2 linked regions of the Mytilus edulis genome follow. The protein of the gene in region 1 interacts with the protein of each later gene in a pairwise test. Links are inferred from orthologs where the notes say so. Each region holds a gene or a part of one and is shown on either strand. Other genes may lie near its edges.

Region 1 (4,508 bases):
GTTTCCAATTATTAACAAGTATAAATACAAAGCGGAGAAGCACCCGTACGGATGATCCAGCATCCATGCGCGTGCTTGCTCCTTGAGCAAGTGATAGTATCTTAACTAATAAACTTAATTAAGTTAACGATGACGATGCATCGTCTTACCTCTCCTCACACAATTCTCGTTCATGATAATCAACCTGGTTACGTGGTAGATGGCAGTAGCAGTACTGGCATTCTGTTGGCAGTTCTGACACTGCTTTCTCCACAGCCAGGTTTCTGGAACAAAGGTTTTTGCTGATTTCACATCTGCAGTTGGGACAGGTTGCTGTCTCATCTTTGAGTCTTGAATCAGCGAGTACGTGATTGATACAGCCAGCACACATCAAATGACCATTGGTACACTAAAATAAGATAATTCTTTATGCAATTTATGGCTATAAATAGTAATAAATTAAATCATTAATGCATGAAAAATCTCTTGATTTTAAACAACTTGATAAATGGACAACTTATTAAGATAAAACTTCTCTGATTTACAACTAGAGGCTCTTAAGAGCCTGTGTCGCTCACCTTGGTCTATGTGCATATTAAACAAAGGAAACAGATGGATTCATGATAAAATTGTGTTTTGGTGATGGTGATGTGTTTGTAGATCTTACTTAACTGAACATTCTTGCTTCTTACAATTATCTCAATTAATAATGAACTTGGCCCATTAGTTACAGAGGAAAAAAATTTTGTTAAAATTTACAAAATTTACAAAATTATTAAAAATTGACTATGAAGGGCAATAACTCAGGGTCTACTGACCTTTTTGGTCATGTTGACTTATTTGTGGATCTTACTTTGCTGAACATTATTGTTGTTTGCAGTTTATCTCTATCTATAATTATATTCAAGATTTTAGCCAAAAAACGGTATAATTTCCTTAAAATTGACAATTCAGGGGCAGCAACCCAACAACCGGTTGTCAGATTCATATGAAAATTTCAGGGCAGATAGATCTTTACCTGATAAACAATTTTACCCACGTCAGATTTGCTCTAAATGCTTTGGTTTCAGAGTTATAAGCCAAAATCTACATTTTACCCCTACATGTATGTTCTATTTTTAAGCCCTTCGGGCCAGGTGAGCTAAAAATGTACATGTTATATGTTAATGGAAAACACTATAGCTGATAATGTGAAACAAACAACCAATGCAATAAACAATGAAGTGCCGACTGGTTGGTAGAAATGTACAACCTACATGTACGTGATGGTAGGAATGCCCTTTACCCTCATGTTTCAAACAGTCTTTTTTGGGTACCTTTAGTGTCAAATTGGTTTAAATTTTACAGTGATTTGTCAAAATATATATATTGTGATTCATCAGAGGTCTCAAATAATTATCATTACTGATATATTTGAATAAAACTAAATGTGATTTGTCTTAAATAGACTATTTTTTTGCTAAAACAAAGCGTACATTTTATTGTCCTGCACCAAAAATTATTGTTAAACTTAATACCGTTATTATTCATGAAGGTATCCCCATGATCACCCTCCTATTGCAATGTACCAATATTTAAGAGATTTGTTTTTGAATCAATCTCAGCCCTCGCCCCCCTTTTCTGTAAAAAATGGTTGTTTATACAGTATAGAGAATTACTGAAGTATGACTCGAGCGTGCCCCCTCTACGGCAGTCAGTTGGCAACTACTTATGAAAATTCCTGGATCGGCCACTGAATCTGATGTCTTATATCTTTTGGAAGGTATTTTTTTTCTAACCTGCATGAACACAAAAAGTTAGCAAGTCATTAAAAACATATAATTTTACTATGTTTTTAATGAGAGGGCCTGATGGGTTTTCATTCTTTGTGATTGGCACATTTACGCTATCGTGATACGTTTTTCTACAAAAAAAAATTTATAATTGGTGATCCGTGATCATTGAAATTTGTTTTCCTGTGAATTGTGATTGACAAAAAAATCAACTGGTGAATCGTGATTAGACACCACCCCACCAGACCCCTCTTTAATTATGTACCTGATAACTTTTAACACACAGATATACATGTACAAAATGTACACCTGGGAACATTTATCAAATTATGTACATGTATGTAATATTTCATGTGTATATCAGTAGTATCTTGTGTTATCTTGACTTTGCTGTCATGTTATGAGGGTGAACTTCATGCATCGATGAATTACATATGGATTTGCTCCCATGATATTTCATTCATATTATGGGAAACCATATGTGATACATATGCATATTAAATGAGGTGGCAGTTTGCCAAGTGGACAACTGATTATGTTGATCATGTGATCATGCTATCCGTCAATGTCAGAGATAATTTGGGTCAACATGAAGGTCACAGCTGGTTTTGACAGATGTGTTTGGGCAAATCCCTGAGCTGATTCTCTCATATTCTATTGCATTCGTACGCGCCACATTTATATTTCAATAAATCAGAATTTCTGTTTCATGCCATATTGTTGCTAAGGTATAAAAGTTCCGTTCCAAGTAAATTTTTCTGCATATTTGTTGGCAGACATGACCATATATGGCTATGATGCAATATCCGATCAGTGAAATACATATTTATTGAGGTGATTAATATACTCGAAACCAAAATTAGCAAATTCAGATGAAAATAGATAATTCGAATGAAACAAAAAATGCATACCTGGTAACAGGTTTTGGGCAGGTCCAAGCAAACTGCGCAACACAAGATTCCGGAAAGGCGATTTTCGAGGGCATTTTTTTCTTTTTCTTTCTCCTCTACTTTGACTTTCTTCTTCTCAGGTTCATAAAATATGTCCATGTTTTCCTTGTTGGAATTTTCATCCATTATAGCAAGGGCTGATGGTCCTGGTATGTCAGACATTTCGTTTCAGCTGTCACTGGGTCACTGGTTTGTTTACGATTGAGGTTTGTTGATGTTGACGTTTTGCTGTTTTGATCATGTGATCTGTCTAAACATGACGTCAACGATAACCAATGAAACGAACCTTGTTCATCGAGTAACTTCGTAACTTTCCGGTTATCAGTATCGGATCAAAGTACTTGAAAGCACTGTATACATGGTACATACATTCAAGGTTTCACAACATATTATGTGACAAGATATTTTGTTTAGTGCTATACATATCCTTGGCGTTTCACAACAACAAAAACAAACAAAAAAATAGAAAAAATCCAATATCAAACAAACATAAACTTGCGACCAAGAATGTGTATACTATAGACCTACTCTGGGAACAGTATATCTAACAATTCAATTCAATATTTTATTGGAAAGAGCACAATAGAGGCGTGATCCAAATACAGACAATTATAATATTAAAACAACACATAAATGAAATAAAGATTCATGTAACAAGTCATGAGCCAATTCTATGTATACAAATACATTATAAACTGATATTGATACCATAAACTTATATTTCAGTATTATTCTAGATTTTCATATATTTACTTAAAACACACAATATAAGATTTATATATATATATATATGCATATGCACAAACTAATGCAAAAGATTATTATCTGGTGAAACGGTATGGTGGTCTCTCAAATCAAGAGCTTCTTCAATATACATACAAATAGATTTTAATTCCTTTTCAGACATAGGATTTAACAGTTAATAGTATGTTCCTGACCTACCAGTCTTCAGCTATTCTACCTGTATGGTATCGCTGTTCATTTTTCTGTACAGATTCTAATTAACATTAATAGTTTTCAAGAAAAAGGGCAAACAAATGATATTTAGCCAAAAATTGCAATTCAGTAAGGACAGATAAGGTGTCATCCAATCGTTTGGGTCATATTAAAATCATATTACCATTATATTACATTTACAGTGCATAGCCAAACATATTTAAATTTTCACCTATAATGTTTTGCTGTATATTATTAAACTTTTTTCTTCTTTTAAACACAATGTGTTGTAAGACACAGAGTCATCTAAATTATAATTATAAAGCTAAGGAGATTTTGGTATTTTTGCAAATCTGCAAATGAGACAACCTATCAATCAAAGATCAGAATCTTCTTCTTCTTTCTTCTTCCAAATACCGCCAACATTCAACATGATGAATATTCTTGCAAGTTGATGTGAATGTTAGAAAAATTATAGTCAAACGTATAGCATATGCTTCTTTTATCAGTTTCGTCTTCTATTGTTTTTCAGTGTCCTCCCCTGGTATAAAAACTATTTTTTTTTAACATTCTAATCATTGGTTGAAATTTATATTAATTTCTGAACAAAAAGTAATACTTTGCTTATCATGAAGTCAGTGAAGAATAATTAAGGTCATTATTCACTGTAGTTCTTGTATTGGTGAGATTTTTTTTTTGGCTGTTTACAGTTTCTTCAATTATAGTTTTCCAGATAATAAAACAATATACGAATAATTCATAATTCACTATTAAATGGCTAACATTCCTGTAAGGATTCCTCAAACAGTTTTGGCTGTATAACCGTTTTGTTTTTTATCACGCCGGTGTTCTTGTATCGCTGATCACTTTT
Region 2 (3,600 bases), on another chromosome or scaffold:
AATGTTCCTCCAGCATATGGTGTGTCGGGAGGTCCTGCTATCGTCCCTTCTAACTCATTATACATATCATTTTTCAGTGATACTTTTATCTTACAGCGTTCCACCTGGATTATAAAAGATAAACGCATTTAGTTATACATGTATGTTAGATATTTGTAAGAAGGTAAAATCTACTCATTATCACTTTCCACTTGTATGTTATTTTTGTTAAACTTAAATAAATGAAGAATATATCCATAGGACAGATGTCTAGGGCTTGTAAATATACAACAAATTACATTTTTTTCATTTATAAAGGGACATGAACAGTGCAAGTGATGCCACTCAAATTTGAACATGACCAGTGTTTGGTGGTAAAAACCAATGTGTTTAAGTTTCAAAATATTTGTTTGAGTCTAGGTAAAGTAACTTTCACTGTAAGAGTGCAGAAACACAACAGGTAAACTTATTTAATCCTTAGAACATGTTGAATATCTTATTCTAAAAGGTTGCCAAATGCAATTCAACACTGTAATAAGATCTAGATCTTTTTCAACTGATTTTAAGTATTTGTTTTTATGTTGCACTGTTACATTGTACATTACTTTTCCAGGTTAATTGAGGGTTGCATTGGCACCTTTTTAACCATGCAACATTCTTTATATGCCTGATAAACATGTTTCAAAAGACTGTCAGTAGCCTGTAATTGAGTAGTTATTGTTTTTTGTTTTCTCATTTGTTTTCCCTTTAGTTTTATTTGTTAAGTTTGTTCTGTGTTGTGCAGTTACATTGCTGTCCTGGGTTAGAGAAGGATTGGCACCTCCAAACATGTTTAACCCTGCCAAATTCTATATGTGGCTTACTGTAGTTTAGTGGTTGTCATTGTTTCATGTCTGTCAGGAGTAGTTCAAATGATAAAAGACTGTTTACAACAACAGCATTTTTTATTTGTCAATCAAAACATCCCATGCACCCAGAGGCGCAGAACAATTAGTTTAACTGTAAAGTTTGCCAGAATAAAGTCTGTACTTCAAATTGTTTGTATATAGCTAGGACATGTAGGACATTGGGATTTTTCATTTATTTACATGCAAGTTTCTTTTATCATGTTTCTGTATGGGAAATAGATGCATAAGCTTTTTACACCTGTTCAGAGTTTAACCTTGATAGCTTGCACTAATCATGCTAATCACGTAACTTTTATTTTTTTACTTATCATGCTTATTCATAATGCATGCTGTTTTGTTTAAAATGAATATCAAATTATGTGTGAAAGTTAACTTTTAAATAAACCTCTATACTATAAATTAAGTGACATGATACAGAATACAAAATAAAATGTGTATATTCATTGGTATTGGGGTAGTCAGACCCAGAGTGAGCATAAATCAAGGTGAACCGTCCCAGATTCTACAAAGCAAGTCACACACAAAATAAGCCTGTACAGGTGATTATTGGAACATTCCTTATTGCAGTCAACTCAATTTCCCCATATTGGTTTCTGCCTTGGTGAGGAAGATTAGTTTATTGTAACTAACTGAGTTTACCCTCTTTAAATAAAGAATTTATTATTATTATTATTATTATCAATCTACATGTTATAAGTCATTTAGGGCCTTTTCTAGCGGACTATGCAGTGTGGGTTTGCTCATTGTTGTAGGCTGTATGGTGACCTTAATAGTTGTTAATTTCTGTGTCATTTTGGTCTCTTGTGGAGAGTTGTCTCATTGGCAATCATACCACATCTTCTTTTTAAAGTTGAGTATGAAATAATTATGCTTATTAAACTGGGAATAATACTAAATAGTGATGTAGAAATTTTGCCATCAGACCAAAATTCACAACTTTTAGCATCAATGGCAATGACAAGAGTGATCTGAGCTATTAACCATGAATTTGGGGATGTTACCCATCAATCAGGAAATTAGGTAACTAGGAATAGTCTCCTTCAGGTTGTCCTGTTAAAATGTCTTGGTCATAACTCATATTCACTTCTGTCCTGATAAGGAAATGATAAGTCCATGATGAAATCAGTAAATATATGGTTCTAGATTGAAACCATTTCATGATAAAGATTGGCTTTTGGAGTCGGTGTGATCATGAAATAAATCTGCTGTTTATAGATGGAATATATCTCAAAGAACATAGCAGTCTGTACCTCTTCACTTTTAACCACTTCTTTGAATTCTCTTTGTATTCGAGCAGCAGCAATATTGGCCATATTTACAAGACAAAATGTTACATCAATCACAAGTTAAGGGCAAAATAAATCAATAGAATTAATTTTTAAACGGGATGAGTAACACTTTCAATGTTTTTTTCAACAGTGCTTGTTCCGGAAGTGAGCACATGGAAAGTTGCGCATTAAATACAAAACTGAACTTTTTACTTTAATCACGGAAATTTTTGAATTAAATATATTTGCGATAAAATAAGATAGAATTATATATAATTCCGCTAATGTTTCATTGAAGTTAACTATTTTCTACGTTTCGTTGAAATATATTAGGTCATATAAGGTCAATCTTAGGGTCAAGTTGTCTTAATCATGTTCACGCTTTACAGTAACATCCGTTACAACCAAGCGTAGAAATGAAAATACTCACATGCATCCTGAGGCCAAACGTGTTTAATGTTGGGTATTCGTAAACAAATTTCTGAATCAAAAAGCTTGACAGACTTCGGAAGAATGCCTAACATTAAGGTTTTTAGTGGAAGTTCTCATGTTGATCTTGCACAGAAAATTTGCGATCGTCTTGGAATAGAACAAGGCAAAGTTGTTACCAAAAAATTTAGCAACGGTGAATGCAGGTGATCATGAGTGATTTTATCATTATTTTGTATCCATGCCCATGGGGCACCAACAGACTATTTGACCTGAATAGTGACACTCGTTGAAAATTAGGTTTTAGAGTTGATATTTCTTATGTGAGACAGCTGTTACACATGATGAGATTTGAAAGTTGGTTTTTAATTTGCATGTTTAAAAAAATTACTAGGCATTTCCAATGATTTTCTCATTATAAATGTGAGTAAAATTATGTGGGATCATGGCTTAGACATAGGTTTCTGGTCGCCCTTGGTCTATTCTCATCAAGTTCTTTCGACCATATTCTGTTTCTGATTCTGTTAACGTAGTTCTGCCAATCAAGGCACACCTCCATTCACATAGAGGAAAATGTCAATACACAATATATCACATTATTGCATAGCAATATAATATTTCCCACAGAAAGTATCCAAAAGTTAGCGTGCAATAAATTCCAATATTGCACTAGAGTAATAAATCTTTGAAATTAATGATGTCATCAACGACAAAATCTTAGTTTAAACCAATTTTAACTTTCTAATATTATATTGCTATACAATAAAAGGGTTATTGCATGAATACACCTTATCGCTAATCCCGGCTGACCCAGCCGCTTGAACTTTTGACGTCAATAACAATCACTTTTCCATTGTGGCGTCAGACATTTTGTTTTATGACGTCAAAATTTTACGGGAACCTGTGTGATATCCAGTAATGGCGGACAAATAGCGATAAGGTGTATATTGGGGAATATTGTCCCTCGTAGAACATATATTGCATTCGCAAGCTCATGCAAATATAGAATTCTACTT

Evidence for each region. The genes of interacting proteins can lie anywhere in the genome.
Region 2: the proteins of zinc finger TRAF-type-containing protein 1-B-like (region 1) and ubiquitin-conjugating enzyme E2-22 kDa-like interact in a two-hybrid assay, tested with the Drosophila melanogaster proteins (2 studies listed by BioGRID). The link is inferred for Mytilus edulis from reciprocal best matches to the Drosophila melanogaster genes CG32486 and Ubc4.

What each region holds. Positions count from the first base shown.
Region 1 is NC_092348.1:55,174,910-55,179,417, reverse strand, and holds the start of zinc finger TRAF-type-containing protein 1-B-like, read right to left. Parts: upstream 2,959-4,508; 5' UTR 2,864-2,958; coding exon 2,663-2,863; intron 389-2,662; coding exon 150-388; intron 1-149.
Region 2 is NC_092351.1:24,261,690-24,265,289, reverse strand, and holds the start of ubiquitin-conjugating enzyme E2-22 kDa-like, read right to left. Parts: upstream 2,519-3,600; 5' UTR 2,201-2,518; coding exon 2,138-2,200; intron 105-2,137; coding exon 1-104. Other genes in the region: ribose-phosphate pyrophosphokinase 2, read left to right, coding at 2,612-2,790. UniProt on the Drosophila melanogaster protein: Catalyzes the covalent attachment of ubiquitin to other proteins.